7 linked regions of the Callithrix jacchus genome follow. The protein of the gene in region 7 interacts with the protein of the main gene of each other region in a biochemical or structural test. Links are inferred from orthologs where the notes say so. Each region holds a gene or a part of one and is shown on either strand. Other genes may lie near its edges. The genes, in order: SLC26A3, PODXL, PTH1R, CFTR, PDGFRB, KCNJ1 and NHERF2.

Region 1 (3,500 bases), on a different chromosome or scaffold from region 7:
TTCTCCTTCCTCAGCCTCCCAAGTAGCTGGGATTACAGGTGTGTAAAACCATGCCCAGCTGATGTTTGTATTTTTAGTAGAGATGGGGGTTTCACCATGTTGGCCAGGCTGGTCTTGAACTCCTGACCTCAGGTGATCCACCCACCTTGGCTTTCCAAAGTGCTGGGATTACAGGTGTGAGCCACTGCCCCCGACCCACAAAAACAGTTTTTTAACCTTTAGCCATTGATTGGTTGTTTCCATTAAGAACAACAAAATTACCGATTTAAGGCCCCTCATTGAAGAAACATCAAGAAAGGACACTGCTGAAAAGTCGAGAATGAGGCTGTGGAGGCTGATTCTGGGGACCTCAATGTTGAGAGGAAGATCATTCCAGTCAATCTGGAAGGGCAGGTCTGTGGTACTGATCGGCTGGTTCAGTACTTCTATCTGATTGTTGTCCAGCTCTTCGTCAGAATCTTTTATGGCATCAACAGTGCATATAAATCCTTTCTGCAGGAGAGGATAACAAGCATGATAACTGTGACCAAGAAGAAAAACATTGTGTATGTCAGAGATAGCCAGTGAGTTTCAGAAGCACTGATTCAGAGTTGAGCCAAACAACGGGATTGGACTGGGTTTGGTGGTTCATGCCTGTAATCCCAACACTTTAGGAAACTGAGGTGGGAGGATCACTTGAGTCCAGGAGTTTGAGATCAGCCAGGGCAACATGGCAAGACCCTGTCTTTGTAAAAAATAAAAAAAATTAGCCAGGTGCGGTGGCATATGTGATTGCAGTTTCAGCTATTTGGGAGGCTGAGGTGGGAGGGTCCGTTGAGTCTGGGAGGTCAAGGCTGCAATGAGCTGTGATCACACCACTGCACTCCAGCCTAGGCCACAGAGCGAGACAATGTCTCAAAACAACAAGATTGTAGACACTTGTGTTTGGTACTTTTCCCAGGAGAGTCGAAATTTTAGGGAGACCCTCAGAAACATGTCATTTTAAAATAGAACATTCATTGACACATGAAATCCCTTGTTTGGCAATTCATTTAAAGGAATGGAACTAACACCTTGAATCATCCTTTACTGAGCTTTTAGCTACAATGCAGAGAAATGTGGTCAAGAAACTTACTGGTGTCACTTGTAGCAGGCCTTGCTTCTGCAGTTTTCGGATTTTCCTCAAAGCTTTGTTGCGCTTGCGTAGAATTCGAAGTGGATTAAAGCCAACCTGAGAAACCCATTGCTGTGTTACAAGAGTACTGAATATTCTATTATTTATATAGCATAATTCTAACAACTTTTACTGGAGTGATTTGAGGGATTGGGACAGATAATAAAAATATTTGCGACAAAATTTAAAAGTGGTTTAAACAACATCAGCAACAACTTTGTGTCAGACCCATGGTCTGCTCCACCTATATCCAGTTACCAACAGTCAAAAGCTTTTGTATGACACAGTCCAGGATTCATTCATAAATTATCCATGAGTAGACATAAACTCTATTTGAATCTGTTTGTGTTTGGAACCTACACAACTCTTAGGGGATTTTATTTTATTTATTTTCTATTTATTGAGTATGGGTGACACCTATGTAAGTATTCTGCTTCCATGTAATTTTTATTTTATTAAAATTTATGTAATTGTATGTTATTATTTTATAATTTAGTATTATGTTTGAAGTTAATCTTTATTTCCCCTTTTCAACCTAATGAGTTCTTACTGCTATAATATTTAGGTCCAGGTAAATAAGAGAGGAGGATCAAATTATGTAATAAAAAATCCTTGGCCAGATGTGGTGGCTAACACCTCTAATCCTTGCACTTTGGGAGGCCAAGGTGGGAGGACTGCGTGAGGCCAGGAGTTCAAGGCCAGCCTGGGCAACAAAGCAGGACCTTGTCTTTACAAAAATTTAAAAATTTAGTGTGGTGTCATAGCACATGCCTGTAGTTCCGTCTACTTGGGGGACTGAGGCAGGGGACATCACTGGAACCCAGGAGTTTGAGGTTGCAGTGAACTGTGATCATGCCAGCCCAGGTGACAGAGCGAGACCTTGTCTCAAAAAAACAAAAAAATCTTGTGGTGGCTCATGCTGGTAACCCCAGCACTTTTGGAGGCCGAGGCGGGAGGATCATGAGGTCAAGAGATCGAGACCATCTGGCCAACATGGTGAAACCCCGTCTCTACTAAAAATACAAAAAAATTAGCTGGGTGTGGTGGTGTGCGCCTGTAGTCCCAGGTACTGGGGAGGCTGAGGCAGGAGAATTGCTTGAACCTGGGAGGCAGAGGTTTCAGTGAGCCAAGGTCGTGCCACTGCAGTCCAGCCTGGTGCCTGGTGATGGAGTGAGACTCTGTCTCAAAAAAAAAAAAAGATCCTTGACAAAAAATAAAGTTACATGGAAGTTTACTAGAGTAATCAAAAGGGGCAGTATAGAAAACCAAATAAACAATATAATCTCATTTTTCAAACAACAACAACAAAACTGGGTAGAAAAATATCCGATGCATATCAAACTAATAATAATAATTAAGGTTTAAGGCAGAAGCTCTATGCAAGCTACAGAGTAAACCAAAAGGCATGTTTCAAGAGTGAGGACTGAGCTTTTTGTCTTAACTGTCAAGACTGCTTGCTTCCTTGTCATCATCTCTCCAGTTTGCCAGGGACACTCAGTATTTATTGTTATTTAGTATTAACCATTCATTTACAGCTGCTATACTGAATTTCTTTGATGATGTGATCAAATATTAAATGGTCCCTCATTGTTTCTAAAGTTGATGCCCAAAGAAAATCTGTAGGATGACACCTGTTAAAAGCCAGCAACCCAAAACATGGATTTTTTTTTACTCTACAGCAGAGTTTGAGAAAAGTATTTTTCTATATTAGATGTCATCTGAATAGGCTTATTTCTCAACATATTAACAAACTCCCATAAGGTAGTTTCACCTGCTCTGGGACATGGGACAAAAAACACTGGTGCAACCCCACCTCAACATATGTGACACAACCCAGCCTCAACAATGACCTTACAGAACAAACACATTCCTAGATATTCAGTAAGATTACAAGAAAAAAAATTAAATAACCCCAAACCTTACAGCATCGAGAAGTTTCTGCTTAAAGAAACCAATGTTTGCAAAGTAGATAGGAGATGGACATCTGAAAATTTTCACTCCTTCTGGCTCATACATCTATAAGGCAGAGAAGTATTATTAGATGGTGCCCATTAGATCCATACTTAATATCATTTAGCAAGTCAAAGAAAAAAAATGAATCTCCCTTACATCCAAATAATCTTTTTTATTCTTATAGATGTTGCTTCTTCCAATATTAGCCAGTGTGCTGCATTTTGGACTGTAGGGAGAAAAACAAGTAAATCATGCACATTTGTTAGGCCTATAAAGCTAACACTGATTTTTTCCAGCATACCAAAACTGGCTCACTTTTCAGAATGTAAAAGGTTGGGGAAATCATCATGCCATCAGAGACACTGGAAGGGAACACTCTGTTTTACTTATCTTT
Region 2 (3,500 bases), on a different chromosome or scaffold from region 7:
CCACCTTTTGTCCCCAGTGTCAGTAGCATCCTGTGGCCAGCCCCGTTCATGCCACTGGATTACTGGAATTGCCTCCAGACTTCTCTTCCCTTTTCCACACGTTCCTCTTTCCAGTCCGCTTTCCCCAAAGCGGCGGAAACATGTTTCTTTGTAAGTCATCCTATACCACTTCCTTGCTTTAATGCCTTCCCTGGCTGCTTTTTTGCAGCTAGAATAAAATCCAGAATCTGCATGTTGGCCTCTGAGGAAGGTGATCTTATGTCTCATTCTATGTAGGATGTGATTTTATGATTTTTATTTTTTTGAGACGGAGTCTCACCTGTCGCCCAGGCTAGAGTGCAGTGTGGTGTATTCTCGACTCACTGCAACCTCTGCCTCCTAGGTTCAAGTGACTCCCCTGCCTCAGCCTCCCAAGTAGCTGGGATTATAGGCCTCCGCGACCTTGCTTGGCTAATTTTAATTTTTGTATTTTTAGTACAGACGGGGTTTCTCCATATTGGCCAAGCTGGTCTCAAACTGCTGGGATTATAGTCATAGGCCACTGTACCTGGCCCAATAGGATGTGGTTGTTTTTTTTGTTTGTTTGTTTTTTGTTTTTTTGAGACAGAGTCTCACCTGTCGCCCAGGCTAGAGTACAGAGTGGTACATTCTCCACCTCCCAGTTTCAAGCAGTGCTCCTGCCTCAGCCTCCCTTGCAAGTAGCTGGGATTACAGGCACGCACCACCATGCCCGGGTAATTTTGTATTTTTAGTAGAGACGGGGTTTCACTGTGTTGGCCAGACTGGCTTCGAATTCCTGACCTCTGGTGATCCACCCACCTTGGCCTCCCAAAGCGCTGGGATTACAGGCGTGAGCCACTGCGCCCTGTTGGATGTGATTTTTAAGAGAGCCTTTTACTCTCAAAAATGTCTGGTTTGGACGCTTAGTTGCTGTCAGTGTAATTATAAGACCCTGCATTTTCTCAGCCCTGTGCCTGACCCCTTCTCACCAAACTCCATTCCTGCTTGTCCTCTTTCAGCTCCTTTCTCTACTTGGGGCTTTGCAGATTCTGTTCCTTCTGCCATGAACACTTTTCCTCCCATTCTCCATACATTGTTCTCCTTGTTATCCTCCGGGCTTAGTTTAACAATCATTGCAGAGATGCTTTCGCTCCCCTCGCCGTGGGTCTCTGCGCCACTTCCTTCCTTGCCTCCTCCATCTGGTAAGCAGATTTAACCACCCTGTTTAGTCTCTGTCTCCCCCACTGAGCGTAGCCTTTTTGAGGGTATGAGAGTCTGTGTCACGTTCACTGTTGTGTCTCCACTGCCTGACACAGAACCTGTTTCCTCAAGAATTATTTCGTTAAACAAAGCCTTCCTTCCCTTTGCCCCTGGCACGGCGAAGCCGCCGCGCTGCACAGTCGGGGCACAGCTCTGTGTAACTTCAGTTTATCATCCGTTTCATCTTCTGGATTTAACTTCCATGAGAACAGGGACCATGTGTTTTTTGCTTAAGCTCAGCACAGGGCCAGGGCACTTCAGGGAGCATTAGTCTGTGGAATCTTTGGTGGGGCCACGTGCCTGGGAGCTGGAGAGGAGGAGACAGAGATGTTCCTGGCAGCCGGTTCAGGGGTAGCACATTGAGAAACTTGAGGGAGATGTGTGTGGGGCTAGACAGGGAGGGCAGACAGGGAGCGTACGACAGCCTCCACGTGTGGGGGCCTCACTGGCCTGGCCCTCTCCTTTGGCAGCATTTTGCTTTTCTGACCCTGCTGCACTCTAAACTCCCCTCTTAGAGGTTTCTTGAACCTCAGAAAAATCTGGAGTCGGCCGGGCACAGTGGCTCACACCTGTAATCCCAGCACTTTGGGAGGCCGAGGCGGGTGGATCACGAGGTCAAGAGATCGAGACCATCCTGGTCAATATGGTGAAACCCCGTCTCTACTAAAAATACAAAAATTAGCTGGGCATGGTCGTGCATGCCTGTAATCCCAGCTACTCAGGTGGCTGAGGCAGGAGAATTGCCTGAACCCAGGAGGTGGAGGTTGCAGTGAGCCGAGATCACGCCATTGCACTCCAGCCTGGGTAACAAGAGCGAAATTCCGTCTCAAAAAAAAAAAAAACAACAAAAATTAGCTGGGTGTGGTGGCGCATGCCTGTAATCCCAGCTACTTGGGAGGCTGAGGCAGGGGAATCGCTTGAACCCAGGAGGTGGAGGTTGCAGTGAGCCGAGATCATGCCACTACAGTCCAGCCTTGTGACATAGCAAGACTCCATCTCAAAAAGAAAAGAAAAGAAAAGAAAAAAATCTGGAGTCACCGAGGACCCAGGCCTTCAGCAAGGCCTCTGAATCCTGGGGAAGAGCTGGAGAAGCATGGTGAGAGAGCCTCCCAGCCCTAACTCCATTCTGTATTGTCTTTGCAAACAGCAGATTCACATGCTAATGACTCACTCAACGGAACAGCCCCAATGGCAGCAGAAGCCTCCAGCAGGCAGGACCAGGCTCCAACAGCTGCTGTCACCACAGAGGCCAGAGCTGCAGTCCAGCAGAGCACAGTCCTCACCCCCAAGGCCCCGGTCAAGGCGAACATCACTAATGTGGCCAGTGACTCAGGAACTGCAGCCCCAGTTCAGCAAGACAAAGTGACCAGTACCGTGCCTGGAAAAGCAGACTCAGGCAGCCCTCCTGCCACCAGCGATGATCCCAAGGGCATGAAAGATACAGCTGGCACTACAGTTGCACCCTTCACGACCACAGCTCAACCTGACGCCACCACCAGCCAGGATGGAGCGAAAGATCCAGCCACATCTGGGGACCAAAGTAGCCACAATGTGACCATAGACCTCACAACCATTAAGGCAGAACATCGGACGACCCCTCAGCCTACAGATCCAGTTAGCACCCCCCAACCCACTCAGATGCATCTTGTGGCCACCCCAACAAGCTCGGGACAGGACCATCTTATGACAGCTTCAAGTGGTTCAAGCACTGCGGCTGGCACTGACCACACCTTCACAAGCCCTGGGATGACCGCCACCCTACGTAAGTAATGCCTGGTTTTCTTTAAGCACAAAGAAACTCTAGGGCCGGGTGTGGTGGCTCACACCACTAGTTGCAACACTTTGGGAGGCTGAGGCAGGTGGATCACCTGAGGTCAGGAGTTCGATACTGGTCTGGCCAGCCTGACCAACATGGCAAAACCCCGTCTCTACTACAAATACAAAATTAGCCAGGTGTGGTGGCAGGCACCTGTAATCCCAGCTACTCAGGAGGCTGAGGCAGGAGAACTGCTTGAACCCAGGAGATAGAGTTTGCAGTGAGCTGAGATCACACTATCTTGGGTGACAGAGCAAGACTCTGTCTCAAAAAATTATACTTTTCAGCACTTATAATTCATATAGTTGCTCAACTGGAAAATGGAGATCTATGTGAAGGGTAAAACACTGTGTAATCACAGCACTTTGGGAGGCTGAGGCAAATCACCTGAGGTCAGGAGTTCAGGATCAGCCTGGCCAGCTTG
Region 3 (3,500 bases), on a different chromosome or scaffold from region 7:
GAGGCAACAGAACCACTGGCCACCCACAGATGCAAACGCTAAGGAGCTGCCGCCCCACTCACAGACGCACACACGCTGCCCTATGCCCAAAAATACCTGTGCACGTGCACGCTCACAAACACGTCCATCTGGCGTCCCACGGTGACATGCCGGACAGTCCCCGCGTGAGAACGCGCACAGATGGACACACACGAGTGCATGCGCCGGCCACACTCGCGCATGCGCAGGGATGAGCATGCGGCTCCGCTAAGTGGAACCAGCAGAACCCGAGGCTGGCAGAGCCAATTGGAGACTCCTTGGCCCTGGAAGCCCTCGCTGCTGCCGCCAAGAGACGCGGTCAATTAACTTCTCCCTGCAGCCAGGCTCCCTGACCCGGCCCGCCCACCCCGTCCCTGGCCGCCTCCTTCCTTCCCTGCCCCCTCCGAGTCCTCCCGCCTTGCACAGCTACGCTTGGACTGCAGAGCCCCAGCCCCGCCACGGCAGGTCTGAAGGATGCGGCTCTGCCCCGGGGGGCTGAGGAGACATAGCCTTTTGGGGGACCGGTGGAGGGGATCATCTCAGGATACAGGCCCAGGGGTCTGAGGAAACATGGCCCTGAATTAAGGGGGTTGGGGCTGAGGGCTTCACAACCCCGCCCTGGGGAGGTTTCAGAGGCCGCCTTAACCCCTGCAGGTCACACTTATGGGAGTAGCTGGGCCAGGCACACCAAGCTGTTCCCCTGCTGTCTTCACCCTGGCTCCTTGCCTCCCAAGTCAGAGGCTTACACCCCTCAGCAGCCACCTGCTCTGAGTGAGCCTCCACCCCCATGATGTTTCATGTCCTTTCCTATAATGAGGCCAGTGAGTCCCGGTGGGTGGCAGCCAGGGCCCATGGTGTGCAGGTTGGAAGGAAGGGAAAGGACATTCCAGGCAGAGAACAGCAGGAGTGAGGGCCTGAGTGTCATCAGAACTCAGAGTCCGCTTGAATGGAGGGAATTCTCAGATCAGCAGTGGAGAGGGACTCCCACCCACCACAGCCAGCCACAGCCAGCAGTTCCTCCACCCTCTCCCTCTCGGGATTGTAAGGAGGGGAGGCACTCACCGTTCACTGGGGAAAGCACTGACTGGGGACCTGAGCCAAGATGGAAATTGGTGACTCCTAAGGCCCCCCCAGGGTGCCAGAACTTGAAGGAATCCAGGCTGGGTTTGTCTCCCCAGAGCTCAGGACTCCTTATCCAACCCCTGCCCCCGACTCATGTCCCCAGCAGGCAGCCAGGATCCTGTGTGGATCCATCCTGGGACATTCCATTCCAGTCCCATGAACCCCTAGGGAAAGGACTGGGCAGAAAGTATCAGTGACTGCAGCCTACAGGGTTACTGGCAGGCAGGCAGGAGACAGCTCCCTCCTTCTTCCCTTGGATCAGGCAGGCCCCACCCCTCAGAGCCACAGTTTCCCATCTGTGAGGTAGGAGCTCCATAGAGCAGATTTCCCACATGTGGGGAAATCCCACCTTCCCTCTAGAGTCAGGGCCTTTTGAAAGAGGGTAATCACTCTGGGAAATTGGGATGGCTCTGGGACCTGCTGCGCTGGAAAGTGCTGCCTGTGGTCTGACCTTCGGCTTGGCAGGTGGATGCAGATGACGTCATGACTAAAGAGGAACAGATCTTCCTGCTGCACCGTGCTCAGGCCCAGTGTGAGAAACGGCTCAAGGAAGTCCTGCAGAGGCCAGGTGGGGGTCAAAGGTGGGGGTCTGGGGATGAGACCAGGTGAGGGAGGGGCCAGTTGAGGGTGGGACCCAGGATGCAGAGCCAGGTGAAGGCTCTCTGTGGGAGTGGACTCAGGTAATGGGAACCAGGCCAAAGTGAGGACCATAGTGGGGTGGGTGGTGCAGGAGTGGAGTCAGCAGGCTTGGGCGTCCTTGGCTTGTCCTAAGTCTTTTCTTTTTCTTTTTGAGATGTAGTCTCACAGTGTCCCCCCAGCTGGAGTGCAATGGTGCGATCTCGGCTCACTGCAACCTCCACCTCCCAGGTTCAAGCGATTCTCCTGCCTCAGCCTCCTGAGTAGCTTTGATTACAGGCGCCCATCACCATGCCCAGCTAACTTCTTTTTCTTTTTGTATTTTTAATAGAGACAAGGTTTCACTATGTTGGCCAGGCAGGTCTCAAACTCCTGACCTCGTGATCCCCCCACCTTGGCCTCCCAAAGTGCTGGGATTACAGGTGTGAGCCACCTTGCCCAGCCTGGCTTGTCCTAAATCTTAAGCTCAGGTCCCTGTGTTGTCTACCACTAGCGCTCAAACTGACGGCTGTCAGGTTAATCTCATCAACCCAAAAGGCTCAGACTCCAACTGACTGATGGAGAGGGCAGCTTCCTCCCCTGACAAGCCCTTAGGGCTCTGCAGGGGTCAAGTCTGGTGCACGCCCAGAACACAAGCACACAATGACACACACACTCTGTGGCACATACATGGGTTTTGCTCACACTCACAGACTCACATGGTCTCTGCAGTTACAGCCCCACCCATGCTGGCCCCAACAGTGGCTCCCAGTTGCATTGAGATCTGGGGGGTCAGGTGGACCCCCTCGCTTGGGTCCTGAACCCAGCCCCTCTTCTTAGTTGTGGAAGCCTGAAGGGTGCCCTCCCCATACACCATGGAGCCTCTCTCTTCCTACTTTACCCCATCTTGCTGCCCACATCCCCACACTGATGGCTGAGGGTGGAGGCAGGAAAATAAGCACAGTCATTCTCGTCCCAGTCCAGGCTGCCTGGACTCAGCTTCCCATCATTGCCACAGACCCGACATGGGAGGGCCAGGGGGCCCTAGCTTGGGCTGTGGCTGAAGCAATGCAAGTCAGAAATGAGGAAGACTTTGTGACTAGGAAGAAAGACCTCCCCAGCCCGGGCAACATAGTGAGACCCTGTCTCTACAAAAATATTTAAAAATTAGCCAGGTGTGGTGGTGCACACCTGTAGTCCCAGCTACAGGTGAGGCTGAGGTGGGAGGATCGCTTGAGCACAGCAGTTTGAGGCTGCAGTGATTCATGATCACATCACTGCACTCCAGGCAGGGCCGCTGTGGAAGCTGTGAACCACATATTCAAGGTCCAGGGAAGGGGATGGGTGGACTTCTCTGTCCACTCTTTTTTTTTTTCTTTTTTGAAATTTTTGATTTTTTTTTTTTAAAGACGGGGTTTCACCATATTGGTCAGGCTGGTCTCGAACTTCTGACCTCAGGTGATCCGCCCGCCTCAACCTCCCAAAGTGCTAGGATTACAGGCGTGAGCCACCGCGCCTGGCCTCTGTCCACTCTTGACTGTACCACCTTGCTCTTGTCTTCTCCACCAGCTTCTTTACCTGCACAGCACTCAGGCCAGACTTCGTTTTCGCTGTGTGATCTGCCCATTGACACCTCCACCCCTGTCTGCTTTCACCATGCGCCCCCTGGTGGGGCCTTCACTGCTGCGTGGCCTTGGCCCCCACTCCTGAGTCCTGGGTGGGACAGTCCACCTCTGCTGTCTTAC
Region 4 (3,500 bases), on a different chromosome or scaffold from region 7:
TTTAAGTGTTATGAAGAAATTATCCCATTTCTATTAATATGGAAACTGTGTCTTCATCTTTATTATGGTTCTAAGATCAATGAAATGTAGATTTTACTTGCTTATAGTTTCATATTTTACTAGCTTATAGTTTCATATATTTTACTATTATAATAGTAAAATATAAATAGTAAAATATTATGGGTATACCTTTTGTTGTGAAGTACTCACACTTACTTGGAACTTTTACGAATATGATACAGAGACTGAAACCACAGGAACAAATTGCGATATTGATTATACAGTTGTGGCAGCACTGCTTTCAATTTGTTGATAGCAGTTAACACTTAGAAAAACATTTTAAAAATAATTTCACACAAATGCTGCAATTTATTAGCTATCTCTGACATTTTACAGTTTGAAATAGTCTACTTTCTTCTTGGTATCCTCACCTAAATGTAAGATCTTTGAAGGCAGGAACTGTATCATTTTTTGCCATTGTATTTTGAGCACATAGCATGGTACTGGCCTCTAAATAGATACTATTGATAAAAGGTTTTCTTTTTTAAGGTCATATTTTAAAGTGTATGCTATGGTACAATTCAGTTTGTAACTTTTGCTAGTTTATTCCACTTACATCTAACAAAAGCATGTCAGCAGTTCTTGGAATGTTGTGAAAAGTGATAAAAATCTTTTCAACTTATTCCTTTATTTCTCATTTAAATTAATCTACCCTAGTAAAAAGACATGTATAAAAGTGCTACTTCTGCACCAGTTTTGAGAATAGTGTTATTTCAGTGAATGGATGTGGTGACCATATTGTAATGCATGTAGTGAACTGTTTAAGGAAAATCATCTACACTAAAAGATACAGGAAATAGTGAGGAAATGTAATTTAATTTCCATTTTCCTTTTAGAGCTGTATACAAAGATGCTGATTTGTATTTATTAGACTCTCCTTTTGGATACCTAGATGTTTTAACAGAAAAAGAAATATTTGAAAGGTATGTTTTTTGAATAACTTACTTACAATGCTCATGCTAAAATACAAGAAAGAAAGACTGTACCATCATACACTACATTTTACCTCTTAAGAAATATGTTCACCCTTGTTGGTATTAACTCAAGCCTGATCTTCCCTACCTGGCCAAGATTCAAGATCACTTCCATTAAACCCTTTTCTGTCCATTTCATGCTAAACCAATTTTTCCCATTGCTATACTGTTATAGCAATTGCCATCTGTGTAGTTTTTGCAGTATTATTGTCTTGTGACATATATTACTTTAATTGATTATTATGCTTAACATTTTCATTTACTTTTTTGTGTTAGTATTTTATTCTGTCTTCTCCTTAAGTAGTACACTTCTTAAGAAAATGCCTATGCCAAATGTTTTTGCTAGTTTTGCTACTGGTTTAATGTAGGTGAATGCTTAGACTACTCATCTACCTCAGTACTTCTTCGGGGACCTCCTTCTCAGTCACACAGAGCTCAGAACTTATATTTCCTTGGAACTACCGTTAGGGTCCAATATACATGATATTCCCTAGACAGACAGTTAGTTATATGACCTGACTTCAAAATTTTAAAATGATTCCATGGACTGTAAGGTAGTCTATTAGGAGAACAGTTATTATGCTCTTCTAGAAATAAAGACTTTAAGCTATAAATATGGATATGTGTATAAAATGGCTGGATTATGCCTAGAAGTACTTTTCTTAAAATTTAGTTAAATTTGATATCCAAGATACTATTTTTACAACCCTGTGACTGTGATAAGTAACTTCTATATTAATATAAACCTTGCTGCATTTGTATTGTTGTGTTAGTGTGTTACGGAATAATCTAGAATGATGTATCTTTCTATATGATATATAATATTTTAATGCCTAAAAAACTGATATTTCTTAGATCATTCTAGTCTGGATTTACTTCTAGAATAAATGAAAATTTTATTAGAAGAGAGTCAAATTAATTATCAAATTCTCAGTTATTGTTGCTGTTTTATTTTTAGTGAAACAGATTAGTTTTAATGTAAGCACTTGAGAAATAAATTGGTGGTCAACCTAAAATGTAAAAAAAAGAAAGAAATTAATAGAAAATTTAAAGAACAATAAGACTCTGACATTTAAAAGACATGGAAGTACAGCTCTCTAGGGACCTTGAAGATCATCTAATACTTTCCTCATTTTCTAGATAAATAAACTGAGACCCAGAGGATAAATGATTTGCTCACAGCCAAATATCTGCTTAATATAGGAAATTTTATTTCATTCTCAGTCTGTTAACATGCAACTTTTCTTTAATACAGCATGATATTTCATGCTATCAGAATTCACAAGGTACTAATTTAATTACTACAGGGTACTTATAGAATCATTTAAAATATAATAAAATTGTATAATACAGATTATATGCAATAAAACAATAAAATGCTAAAATGCAAGACATTATTGTAATAAAGTATTTATAAAATTGATATTTATATCTTTTTATATTCTTAAAGCTGTGTCTGTAAACTGATGGCTAACAAAACTAGGATTCTGGTCACTTCCAAAATGGAACATTTAAAGAAAGCTGACAAAATACTAATTTTACATGAAGGTAGCAGCTATTTTTATGGGACATTTTCAGAACTCCAAAATCTACGGCCAGACTTTAGCTCAAAACTCATGGGATATGATTCTTTTGACCAATTTAGTTCAGAAAGAAGAAATTCAATCCTCACTGAGACCTTACGCCGTTTCTCTTTAGAAGGAGATGCTCCTGTCTCCTGGACAGAAACAAAAAAACAATCTTTTAAACAGACTGGAGAGTTTGGGGAGAAAAGAAAGAATTCTATTCTCAATTCCATTAACTCTATACGAAAATTTTCCATTGTACAAAAGACTCCCTTACAAATGAATGGCATCGAAGAGGATTCTGATGAGCCTTTAGAGAGAAGGCTCTCCTTAGTTCCAGATTCTGAGCAGGGAGAAGCAATACTACCTCGCATCAGCGTGATCAACACTGGCCCCGCACTTCAGGTACGAAGGAGACAGTCTGTTCTGAACATGATGACACACTCAGTTAACCAAGGTCAGAGCATTCACCGAAAGACAACAGCATCCACACGAAAAGTGTCACTGGCCCCTCAGGCAAACCTGACTGAGCTGGATATATATTCAAGAAGGTTATCTCAAGAAACTGGCTTGGAAATAAGTGAAGAAATTAATGAAGAAGACTTAAAGGTCAGTATAAATTGCTTGCGGGTACTTCACCCCCCAGAGTGCAGTTGAGTAGAATGCAATATGTAGCATGTAACAAAATTTACTCAAATTATGAGATTAGGATAAGGTTTGTCTTAAAACTCAGAAAGTATGAAGTTTATTAATTATGCAAGCAACTTTAAAATGTAAAATAACAAATAATTTCTTTTTGCAATGGACATATCTCTTCCCATGAAATGGGAAAGGATTTAGTTTGGAGTCCTTTACAAAGCCAGTGATAATCGTGACTATAAGTTAGAAAGCACCTGCTTTA
Region 5 (2,760 bases), on a different chromosome or scaffold from region 7:
TCCATGCAGTGCAGGCCTTGCATAGTTTTCACAAGGGTTAAATGAGCCGGAGTGTGTAAAGTCCACGGCGCAGGGGCAGATGCTCCAAAGGCCCTTCATGGCTGCTGCTATCATCCTCGTGGGCTCCTTCCTAGCCCTCACGCACTGCCTCCTTCCTCTAGCTCCACCCTGAATGAAGTCAACACCTCCTCCACCATCTCCTGTGACAGCCCCCTGGAGCCCCAGGAGGAACCAGAGCCAGAGCCCCAGCTTGAGCTCCAGGTGGAGCCGGACCCAGAGCCCGAGCTGGAGCAGCCGCCGGATTCAGGGTGCCCCGCACCTAGGCCAGAAGCTGAGGATAGCTTTCTGTAGGGGGCTGGCCCCCACCCTGCCCTGCCCGAAGCTCCCCCTCTGCCAGCACCCAGCACCACCTGGCCTGGCCTGGCCTGGCTGGGTCTCCTGTCAGCCCTTATCAGCTGTCCCCTTCTGGAAGCTTTCTGCTCCTGACATGTTGTGCCCCAAACCCTAGGGCTGGCTTAGGAGGCAAGAAAACTGCAGGGGCCACAACCAGCCCTCTGCCTCCGGGAAGGCCAAGTGACTCTGAGCCAGGGTTTCCCCCAGGGGACTCAGTTTCCCCATATGTAAGATGGGAAAGTTGGGCTAGGTGACACAGAATCTAGGATTCTCTCTCTGGCTGATAGGTGGGGAGGTGGAATCCCACCCTGGGGATTCCCTCCTTGGGGTTATTGAGGTGGTAAATTAACTTTTTTCTGTCCAGCCAGCTACCCCTAAAGGAATCATAGCTCTCTCCTTGCACTTTTATCCACCCAGGAGCTAGGGAAGGGACCCTAGCATCGCTGGCTGCTGGCTAAGCTGGGGCCTAGACTTGGGCAGTGCTGTCTCATCCACAACAAAGCTAGTCTCCTCCCTATGCTGCCAGTCTCTGCTTTCCCTGGCCTGAGCTGGTCTGGGCCATTAGGCAGTCTAATTAATGCTGGAGGCTGAGCCAAGTACGGGACACCCCCAGCCTGCCGCCCTTGCCCAGGGCACTTGGAGTGCACCTGGCCATAGCAAGTGCCCGCGTCTCTGTCCTTCAGGGCCATCAGTCCTGGGGCTTTTTCTTTATCACCCTCAGTTTTAATCCATCTACCAGAGTCTGCAGGGACTGATCGGCCCCGCATCTGTGATGAGGATGTTGATGTGCCAGTGTGAAGTGGCCAGTATGTGTCCCTGGCTCTGCATTGGACCTGCTATGAGGCCTTGGAGGAATTCCTCACCCTCTCTGGGCCTCGGTTTTCTCCTTTGAAAAACGAACAAGTCAGACTTAACTCCAACGGCCTTGCCAGCACTAACATTCTAGACTATTCCAGGTGGTTACACATTTGTCCAGATGAAGCAAGGCCATATACCTTAAACTTCAATCCTGAGGGTCAGCTGGGCTCCTGGGAGATTTCAGACCACACGTCACACTCTGATGACTCAGGAACCGTGCCCCTTCCCCAGGACCCCAGCAAGTCTCAAGAATGCAGCTGCCCAGACCTTGACTTAGAGTGACAGCCAGTGTCCTGAAAAGCCCCCAGCAGCTGCCCCAGGGACATGGGAAGACTGTGGGACCTCTTTCACTACCCACAATGACTTCCAGGGGTATCCTGGGCAAAAGGGACAAAGAGGGCAAATGAGATCACCTCCTGCAGCCCACCACTCCAGCACCTGCGCCAAGGTCTGTGTCGAAGACAGAAGGGACGGTAAAGATAGTTATATCTTGTAAAGGACAAGAAGCTTCAGACGGGTACCCCAAGAAGGATGTGAGAGGTGGACACTTTGGGGGTTTCCTTCTCACCCACCAGCTGCCCCATCCCTGAGGCAGTACTTCATGGGGGTATGGTTTTGTCACTGCCCAGACCTAGCAGTGACATCTCACTGTCCCCAGCCCAGTGGGCATTGGAGGTGCCAGGGCAGTAAGGGCTGTAGCCAAGACTCCCTGGCACAGGAAGGATTGGGAAAGGAGCGCAGGAAGCTCAGCCCTTCTGGGCACCAGCCCTGCATTGCAAGTTGGCACCTTACTTCCCTGGGATCCCCAAAGTTGGTCCAAGGAGGGAGAGTGGGCTCTCAATACGGTACCAAAGATATAATCACCTAGGTTTACAAGTATTTTTAGGACTCACGTTAACTCACATTTATACAGCAGAAGTGCTATTTTGTATGCTGTTAAGTTTTCCTACCTGTGTATGGTTTTTTAAGGGAAAGATTTTAATATTAAACCTGGTGCTTCTCACTCACAGACTTTGTGGTATCGCTCAGGTTTGGGTTCCTGTCCCTGGGGGATGGGGAGTTTGGAGTAGGCACATGCAGCTCACTCAGACTGGACCCCAGACAGATCCCTTCAGCTCCGAGTCTCATTACATTCATCTGTAAAGTGGGGATACTCACTCTCCAACCCCTTGTTAGGAGCTGGGCCACCTAGACCTTGGACTTGGTTTCCCAAGGTGAAAAACAGGCAGGCTTTTCTGGCTCCACGGAGCCTGGCCTGAGTTGGGCAGGAGGGTGTGGGGCTGCAGGGCTGTTTGGAGGCTCTGGTGCTGAGCCTCACTGCCCCCACCCTGTGCTTTGGCTTTGGCTATCAGCTGGGACACTGTCCCCTCCAGTGCACCCACAGGCCCAGATTGAGGCCAGTGCAACCTGTGACAGGCAGCTGCCAGAGCTCAGATTCCAAGTCCACGTGAGTCATCACTCAGATTCCAGGCCCCAGGTAGGAGCGCAGCAGATAGAGTGCCCAAGAGC
Region 6 (4,138 bases), on a different chromosome or scaffold from region 7:
AAGTTGGTTTCGCTTCCTAGTTCTTACGAATAAACATATTTTTCAAGGGGGATTTTGAAATCTATTTTAAAAACACATTTGCATTTAATGAAAAATACCCTGAAGACACTGCTGACCATGGTGGCACACCTTGACATGTTTGGGCATCGAGGAGGAGGTAATCCAGCGTTTTTGACCTTGGGTTTTGCCATTGTTGGCTGTTCATGGGACAGTCCCTTCACGATTTTGCTGTAAAATGGAAGTCACAGTACTGTCATCTATAAAAAACCAATTGAGCAAACAGGATTTTGAAAAATGTAATTCATTCACTGAATTGTTTTATTTACGTTTACTGGTTAAACAGTAGACACTCATAGAGTGTCCTAGCAACTTGGATACAGGAATGAATAAAGTATGGTCTGTCTGTATGGAGTATTATTTAAACCAGTGCTCCCCAGTCGTCCAGCTTTGGAGTAGAAAGGAAGTGTGAGACGTTGATGGTGGCCCTCATAATATTCCTTTTGGGAATCTTGGGAAACCATGGAAAGAGGGTAGGAACAGGCTTGTACATTTATGGAGAAGACCTAGGAGACCGTCTAGTTGGATCTGAGCTCTCTTCTAAATAGTGTTGAACATTAAAAAAAAGAACTATGACCAATACTTGTCTAAAATATTTTAGGAAAATGTAACTTTATAATATGACATTTGATAACGGAGACATGGAGTGGTAGAAGCTCCCTTAGACTGGAGGTAGGGAGCCCTATATTCTAGTTGTCATCTTGCCGCTGACTAGGTACATGAATTTTGACAAGTCATTTAAATTTTCTGAATCTCAGTTTTCTCATTTGATAAATTGAGAGAACTGAATTGAATTAGAATTTTTCTTGATATATGAGTATCAACAGAAGTACAACAGAAGTGCATTAGGTAGTATATTGATGAGTGTTTTCTTGATCAGTTATTTATTTTCCTGTATTTCAGAAAATACATTCAGTGCTTCAAGTTTGTGATTTTTCAGAAATCATTGCTTAGCAGAAGGCTAAACTTACGAGAAGTTGATTTAAGTAATAATATTCAATAAATAAAACTGCAGGCCATAATTGGTTATCGTGAACATTCTTAAGGTTACGTGAGACCAGTTGAGGTCAGGAAACACTTAAACATATGATCTCTTAGTTTTCTTCTATTTCTAACTCTCTATACTTATTTTGCTTCTTTATATTTGAGTGACATGGTCTTCCAGTGGGAAGTTTCTATTAGAAATAGCATTGTGGTATCCAGAACAAACCTGTCGGCTTGACAAATGATTAGTAACCCAGATAATTTTGAATGATCTTTTCATAGTTAGATCTTTTATGTGAGTCACCCAGCTCACTATTGCTACAAACATAATCCTTTTTTGTTTTCCTTTGATGTGTTTTCAGATCAGGGTGTTGACGGAAAGTATGTTCAAACATCTTCGGAAGTGGGTCATCACTCGCTTTTTCGGGCATTCTCGGCAAAGAGCAAGACTAGTCTCCAAAGACGGAAGGTGCAACATAGAATTTGGCAATGTGGAGGCACAGTCGAGGCTTATATTCTTTGTGGACATCTGGACAACGATACTTGACCTCAAATGGAGATACAAAATGACCATTTTCATCACAGCCTTTCTGGGGAGTTGGTTTTTCTTTGGTCTCCTGTGGTACGCAGTAGCATACATTCACAAAGACCTCCCAGAGTTCCATCCTTCTGCCAATCACACTCCCTGTGTGGAGAACATTAATGGCTTGACCTCAGCTTTTCTGTTTTCTCTGGAGACTCAAGTGACCATTGGATATGGATTCAGGTGTGTGACAGAACAGTGTGCCACTGCCATTTTTCTGCTGATCTTTCAGTCTATACTTGGAGTTATGATCAATTCTTTCATGTGTGGCGCCATCTTAGCCAAGATTTCCAGGCCCAAAAAACGTGCCAAGACCATTATGTTTAGCAAGAACGCGGTGATCAGCAAACGGGGAGGGAAGCTTTGTCTCCTAATCCGAGTGGCTAATCTGAGGAAGAGTCTTCTTATCGGCAGTCACATATATGGAAAGCTTCTGAAGACCACAGTCACTCCTGAAGGAGAAACCATTATTTTGGACCAGACTAATATCAACTTTGTAGTTGATGCCGGGAATGAAAATTTATTCTTCATCTCCCCATTGACAATTTACCACGTCATTGATCACCATAGCCCCTTCTTCCACATGGCAGCAGAGACCCTTCTCCAGCAGGACTTTGAATTAGTGGTGTTTTTAGATGGCACCGTGGAGTCAACCAGTGCTACCTGCCAAGTCCGGACATCCTATGTCCCAGAGGAGGTGCTTTGGGGCTACCGTTTTGCTCCCATAGTATCCAAGACAAAAGAAGGGAAATACCGAGTGGATTTCCATAACTTTAGCAAGACGGTGGAAGTGGAAACCCCTCACTGTGCCATGTGCCTTTATAATGAGAAAGATGCTAGAGCCAGGATGAAGAGAGGCTATGACAACCCCAGCTTCATCTTGTCAGAAGTCAATGAAACAGATGACACCAAAATGTAACAATGGCTTTTCAACAGGAGTAAAGCCAAGTCTCCAAAGTTTCTAGTGAAACAGTCAACAACTTAGGGGTACAAAAGTAGGATGAGAGCCTTCAAAGTCTACCAGCACAAGGACCCCTGAGCCCTGCAGTTGTGATCCCACAAGACATGCATCTCTACAAGGCTACTGTATTAGAACGTACCATGCATTTATAGGAAACTGGCATATGGAAGCCATGGGCGCTCACTTGAAATCTTCAATATGATTATTTGAGTTCATGTAGAGTTGATGGGAGCAGACAAAATTATCAGAAGTTTCATGGAAAGGACAAACAAAAATTTTTTTTAAAGTTTTCTTAAAGAAGTTATGAACTTTAGAAAGGATCTGGGAATAATAATAATCTCATTTTGATTCTGCTGTTAAGAAAGACTCCACTTTCATTTTAATGTGGAATTTTACTGATGGAAAAATTGTCTCCTAAGTTGGGGAGACGAACCAACCAATAAATGACAATAAGAAAATTCTTACACAAAGAACAATTTGAGGCTTGAATCTTCTCATGTGTTACATTTAGACAGAGGCTAAATCTACTCGCTAGAACCTTGATGATACCTTCCTGCAAGACAGAATGCTTTAGTTAAAAGTGACGATGATATTTCTTTCAATCTGTATTGGATGGCTTCAGGGACTATACATCTATTTAAAGAGAGTGTTTCCTGCTCTTCTAAGTTAGCAATGAGGAGTTCAAAGGTGCAAAGTCAGTAGAGAAGGGAATGTATCATTAATGCACCTGAGAAGAAAGTTTCATGAGTTTCTCCACCTAGAGTTTGTGCTGGAATGCTATTTCTAAAGAAGTGGGAAAGAGAGAGGAATGGGATGGAGCCCCACAGTCAGAACGTTACTAGGCTTTTCTTTCCCTGAGAGCCCATCTTCCTAAAAGGGACCAGCTTATGGAAGGATCGACCTTGAGGATAAGGTTTTACTGTGAAAGTCTTCTTCAGGTCCCCACCTGCATCATTTTGAATGTGTCCTGGAAAAAAATGGTACTCAAAGCTACTTAGGAAGCAAAATGTTTTCAGCGTGTTGATTCATATATTAAATTTCCGAAACTGTGCATGCACTTTTATTAATATTATTACTGTGCGTTAACTGAGTTAGGCCCCTGGTGAATGTCCTTTTGCGGAGAGGATCCTCTCCTGGAAGAGGTGGGAGGAGTGGAGAGGAAGCACATAGGATGCATTTGTTGTCTCTAGGCCTCAGGAGGAAATGACCCTGCCCACAGACACACCTCTGCCAGTAGAGCTCCATCACGCCTCCCCAGTGTGAGTCTTGGCACATAAACCGGTAGCTGCCAGTTCCATGCCTGGGTTGTGTTTGTATGGATCCGTGTACCACTCTGGTCCTAAGAACAGTGGGGATTCTGATGGGTTTAAGGTTGCATACCTTGTCAATGGCCATAACCGTGGGCACAGCTGGCCCATGTGGAATTCTCACTCTGTGCCTGTGAGTGCTTTGGCACCACAATTTAATGTGCTGGCACGGCAGAAAGAAATCAGGTATCACAAGCTTGAGGGAGCTGGAATTCTCTGCTGGTCTGCTCTCATGATGTAGCCTCT
Region 7 (4,125 bases):
GAGGCTGCCCAGAGGCGGGTCCTGTGCTTGGGCGGGGGCAGGGGAGCCTAGGCTGAGGGCACTGGAGAGAGGAGAGGGAGAGGAGGACTGCACCAAGCCTGCTTCTCCTGCCCACATGGGGAATTGCCTGGGCTGGCTGTGCCTAACTCCTGGGAACCAGGTATGTGTAGGGGGCCTGGCTGGACTGGGGAGGAGGGCAAGCTGGGGCTGTGCCTGGACTCAGCTGCCTTCCCACATTGGAGACTGAGGAAGAGCTGGGTGGGGAAGAGCATGGACTCTGAATCTCACATCCCTGGGCCCAAATGGAGCTGAGGAAACTTTGTGGGTCTCTTCCCTCTTCAGACCTCAGTTTCCAGATCTGTAAAGTGGCCAGACCCCTAGGGTTGTTCCAGGTAAATGCACTCAGCCATAAATGATTTTGTTGTGATGGTGATTGTTCTGTTGGGGAAGGGGGACACTCCTGCTTCAGGTGGAGGCTGTGGGCCAGGGGAGGGGAGGCCTACAGGGGTCTGCCTGTGGACAGTGGCCACCACTCAGAACTCAGAGCTCAGACACTTCAGTGCAGTGTATCCCATGTCAGGAGCGGGTAGCAGAGACCTTTGAGACTCCTTCCCCTACCCTCATCCGAGCCTGTGACTGTAAAGTCACAGTCCAGGCCTGGGGTGGGCTGGGACACAAGTGAGGGGGGCCCAGCCAAGGGAAATAATGGGGGGAGGGCTCAGGAATGGACTTGGTGCAGATAGCCGAAACACGGTGGGTAGATCAGGGAGTCTCCCAGTCACCGGCCCCCAGGGTGCAGAAAGGGGCTGCTGCGTGTCACTTTTAAACCCCTCTTTTTGCCTCCTGGGCCCTCCTGAGCCGCTGCCCTGTCCCAGGGCAGCTCTGGCTGCAGGAGGGATCCGGATCAGGCACAGCCTAGAGGAGACAGGCAAGGGGGTCGGGGAGGGCTACCTGGGGAGGGTGGAGGGCCGTGGCCCTCGTTCTTACCCTTTGGCCCCTTTGTGGGGGGAGTCCTTTGGCCTGGAGACCCTTTTTCCAACCCGTCACCCACCTCAAGACCTGCCTCGGTGCTGCGCATACAGTAGGTTTCCAGTAAATGTTCCTGGAATAGAAGGCAGAGGCGCTGGCACCCGGGCGGCCGTCCAGAGTAGGGGCGAGACAGAGGGGTCCCCTGGCCCTGCCGCCTCCCCCCGCACCCCCTTGGACTGTCAGGGCGCAGAGGCAGGGGCCTGTCCGGGATGGCTGGGACGGGGGCGGGGGCGGCCGGACGGCGGGGGCGGGGGCGGGGAAGGGGCGGGCGCGGGGGCGGTGCCGCAGCCCGAGCCGGAGCCCGAGCCGGAGCCCGAGGCGACGGGAGCCGAGCGGGAGCTGCCGAAGCCGCCGCCGCAGCCCCCGAGCTCCCCTGCACCCCTGCCTGCGGGCGGCCGGTGGGCAGCGGGCGCCATGGCCGCGCCGGAGCCGCTGCGGCCGCGTCTGTGCCGCCTGGTGCGCGGCGAGCAGGGCTACGGCTTCCACCTGCACGGCGAGAAGGGCCGCCGCGGGCAGTTCATCCGGCGCGTGGAGCCCGGTTCCCCCGCCGAGGCCGCCGCGCTGCGCGCTGGGGACCGCCTGGTCGAGGTCAACGGCGTCAACGTGGAGAGCGAGACGCACCACCAGGTGGGGGCCCGAGCTTGCCCCGGTCCGCCCACGCCTCCACGAGCACTTCTCCCTGGGGTGGGCGGGGGTCGCACGGGGCCCGAGGGGGGTCCCGCGGGGAGGACGCGGACGTTGCGGGGAGGCAGTGGCCCGGCGCCTTCCCAGTCCCGGCGCAGGAAGCTCAGCCTTGCACGGGGTGGGGGTGTATCCTGGCAGGGAGGGGCCCGCACTGCGGCTCCTGGCCGTTGGCTTCGCCGTTTGGTTGCCTTTTGGCCTCAGTGTGCCATGAAGGAGGGTGTCAGGCAGCCTGGGGCCCCTCAAGGAAGGTGGAGACCTGGGTGCTTTTGCCTGGGTGTGTGTGTACACGTGTGTGTGTGAACACAGCTGGGTGTGTGTGTGCAGGTCCCTCTGGGGTCAGCCATGTGTGCACGCGCCTGCCTGTGTGTACCCAGGAGGGGACTGCTAAGGGCATCAGTGTGTCTGCACCTGTGTGTGTGCCGGAGTGTGCGTGTATCCAGGTCTGCACACGTGTGTGTGTGTGTGTACAGGTTTAGACTCCTGGTCGTGTGAGCGCTGGACTCTGTGTGTGAACATGAGTGTGTCTGTGAGCCTGTGTGTCTGCATGCCTGGCCTGTATGCTTGTCACTGTGTGTCTGCAGGCTGGTGAGTCTGTGTGTCCATACTCTTGTGTGTCCCAGCCAGGTGTGTCTGGGACAGGTGGGAGTTGGCCATTGGTGGCAATCACATTCCTTAGCTCCAAAGGCACTGCCCCTCCTAAGAGGCTGCTTAGCTTGGCTCGGGACATTGGCTGAAGCCTCCTGCCTCCTGGCCAATGCGAACAGAGCCTTTTCTCTGTGGGTTCTGACCCCTGAGTCTGTCTGTCTCCCACAGGCCAGGGACTCACTCCAGACCCTGGTTGGAGTCCAGTGTCCACACACCCTTTGTTCTCCACGTCCCCTGTCCCTCACAGCACCAGCAAATCCTGTCTACATGGCTGGTCCTGGATCCTAGAGATTAGTAGGTTGGGGCCGGGCGAGGTGGTTCACACCTGTAATCCCAGCACTTTGGGAGCTCAAGGCGGGCAGATCATGATTTCAGGAGATGGAGACCATCCTGGCTAACAGGGCGAAACTCTGACTCTCCTACAAATACAAAAACGTAGCCGGACGTGGTGGTGCACGCCTATAGTCCCAGCTACTTGGGAGGCTGAGGCAGGAGAATCGCTTGAACCAAGGAGGCAGAGATTGCAGTGAGCTGAGATGACTCGGGAACAGAATGAGACTCCTCAAATAAAAAAAGAGATAGCAGGTTGGCTCATGGCTAGGCCTGGAGCTGGTCTCCTGTTCACCCAGTACCTGTCCATTCCTCTGCAGCTTGCCCCTGCCTCCCATCCAGAGTGTCTGTTGTGTAAGGTTGTTTGCTGAAGAAGGTGGGGATCAGGCTGGGGGCCTGGGCCTGAGGGACCGAAGGTGTGGCTGGCAGGGTGAGGGGACAGTCACTGCCACCTTTTCCCTGGGAACATCTGCTTATCCAAGGCCCCTGGGGTGCTGGTCTCAAGGACTGGACACACAGGTCATGGCGGAGCCTCCCCTCTGCCCCAGGAGGGCAAGAGGGGCAGTTACAGCCTCATGGGACAGGAGAAGAAAGTGATGCTGGTGATTTGGGGTGACTGGTCTGGGACACATAGTCAAGAAACAGCTGGGCCCTGGGTTCCTTTTGCCTCACTCTTCATGGGGAGAGAGGAGGACCAGTGGGAAGATGGGCCTGTCTCGGCCCCTCGTATCTGTTCACCACCCCTGCTGAGCCCGGCAGCTGGTAGGGAGCCCTGTCTACCCTCCCACAGGCAGCAGGTGGAAGTGGGGCTGCCCCTCCTCCTCCCCACGGCCCAGTGGGCACTGCTTTCTCTCTGAGGGTGCATGCTGGCCCCCTGTGTGGTCCAGATACTTCACAGGCACCTGCACGCACACGCCGACAGCCATGCCACAGCTGTCCACAGGTGCACCTGCCCCTCCCCCTCGACGGCTGCAGCTCAGTCCTGCCTGCTTCCCGGGCTATGTGTGGGTCCTTGAGCCAGGAGCCCAGCTCTTCCATCTCCGCAGGTCCCACGGGAATGGGCTCATGGTCATGGTCTGCAGGCAGATGCAAGGCTTGGGGTCAGGGGTTTAGACTCCCGCACTGTGTGGCAGAGAGTGACAGGAATGGGCATAGATACACCCAAACTGGGGCCCAGGAAGACCCTCGTCTTCCTCGAACGCGGAGGGAAATACAATCTTTGAAACGGATGCACGCATACGCATGCACGAGAAGACGGAAAAGCTGAAGCTCAGCTGGGCACCATCTTTGTCACTTCCGGACAGGACTCCCCAGCTGCCGTACCCTGCAGCCCCTTCCTGACCCCTCTGGAGAAGACCCAGGGCTAAGAGCAAGGCCCTGGGAGGACCCTGAAGCCCTGGCAGCCTGGGCTTTAGTGTCCAGAGCCCAGAGGCAGAG

Evidence for each region.
Region 1: the proteins of NHERF2 (region 7) and SLC26A3 form a complex in vitro, tested with the Homo sapiens proteins (2 studies listed by BioGRID and IntAct, with this or other methods). The link is inferred for Callithrix jacchus from reciprocal best matches to the Homo sapiens genes NHERF2 and SLC26A3.
Region 2: the proteins of NHERF2 (region 7) and PODXL form a complex in vitro, tested with the Homo sapiens proteins (3 studies listed by BioGRID and IntAct, with this or other methods). The link is inferred for Callithrix jacchus from reciprocal best matches to the Homo sapiens genes NHERF2 and PODXL.
Region 3: the proteins of NHERF2 (region 7) and PTH1R interact in a test that uses a peptide from one of them, tested with the Homo sapiens proteins (2 studies listed by BioGRID and IntAct, with this or other methods). The link is inferred for Callithrix jacchus from reciprocal best matches to the Homo sapiens genes NHERF2 and PTH1R.
Region 4: the proteins of NHERF2 (region 7) and CFTR form a complex in vitro, tested with the Homo sapiens proteins (4 studies listed by BioGRID and IntAct, with this or other methods). The link is inferred for Callithrix jacchus from reciprocal best matches to the Homo sapiens genes NHERF2 and CFTR.
Region 5: the proteins of NHERF2 (region 7) and PDGFRB form a complex in vitro, tested with the Homo sapiens proteins (2 studies listed by BioGRID and IntAct, with this or other methods). The link is inferred for Callithrix jacchus from reciprocal best matches to the Homo sapiens genes NHERF2 and PDGFRB.
Region 6: the proteins of NHERF2 (region 7) and KCNJ1 form a complex in vitro, tested with the Homo sapiens proteins (2 studies listed by BioGRID and IntAct, with this or other methods). The link is inferred for Callithrix jacchus from reciprocal best matches to the Homo sapiens genes NHERF2 and KCNJ1.

The regions. Positions count from the first base shown.
Region 1 is NC_133512.1:78,234,584-78,238,083, forward strand, and holds part of SLC26A3 (chloride anion exchanger), read right to left. Parts: intron 3,333-3,500; coding exon 3,263-3,332; intron 3,170-3,262; coding exon 3,077-3,169; intron 1,211-3,076; coding exon 1,115-1,210; intron 493-1,114; coding exon 262-492; intron 1-261. UniProt on the Homo sapiens protein: Mediates chloride-bicarbonate exchange with a chloride bicarbonate stoichiometry of 2:1 in the intestinal epithelia. Plays a role in the chloride and bicarbonate homeostasis during sperm epididymal maturation and capacitation.
Region 2 is NC_133512.1:115,698,188-115,701,687, forward strand, and holds part of PODXL (podocalyxin), read left to right. Parts: intron 1-2,407; coding exon 2,408-3,022; intron 3,023-3,500. UniProt on the Homo sapiens protein: Involved in the regulation of both adhesion and cell morphology and cancer progression. Functions as an anti-adhesive molecule that maintains an open filtration pathway between neighboring foot processes in the podocyte by charge repulsion.
Region 3 is NC_133516.1:29,559,163-29,562,662, forward strand, and holds part of PTH1R (parathyroid hormone/parathyroid hormone-related peptide receptor), read left to right. Parts: intron 1-1,605; coding exon 1,606-1,708; intron 1,709-3,500.
Region 4 is NC_133512.1:88,177,877-88,181,376, forward strand, and holds part of CFTR (cystic fibrosis transmembrane conductance regulator), read left to right. Parts: intron 1-896; coding exon 897-983; intron 984-2,484; coding exon 2,485-3,208; intron 3,209-3,500. UniProt on the Homo sapiens protein: Epithelial ion channel that plays an important role in the regulation of epithelial ion and water transport and fluid homeostasis. Mediates the transport of chloride ions across the cell membrane.
Region 5 is NC_133503.1:48,826,062-48,828,821, reverse strand, and holds the end of PDGFRB (platelet-derived growth factor receptor beta), read left to right. Parts: intron 1-161; coding exon 162-351; 3' UTR 352-2,260; downstream 2,261-2,760. UniProt on the Homo sapiens protein: Tyrosine-protein kinase that acts as a cell-surface receptor for homodimeric PDGFB and PDGFD and for heterodimers formed by PDGFA and PDGFB, and plays an essential role in the regulation of embryonic development, cell proliferation, survival, differentiation, chemotaxis and migration.
Region 6 is NC_133511.1:28,537,697-28,541,834, reverse strand, and holds KCNJ1 (ATP-sensitive inward rectifier potassium channel 1), read left to right. Parts: upstream 1-1,401; 5' UTR 1,402-1,424; coding exon 1,425-2,543; 3' UTR 2,544-3,638; downstream 3,639-4,138. UniProt on the Homo sapiens protein: Inward rectifier potassium channels are characterized by a greater tendency to allow potassium to flow into the cell rather than out of it.
Region 7 is NC_133513.1:4,726,674-4,730,798, reverse strand, and holds the start of NHERF2 (Na(+)/H(+) exchange regulatory cofactor NHE-RF2), read left to right. Parts: upstream 1-1,325; 5' UTR 1,326-1,443; coding exon 1,444-1,656; intron 1,657-4,125.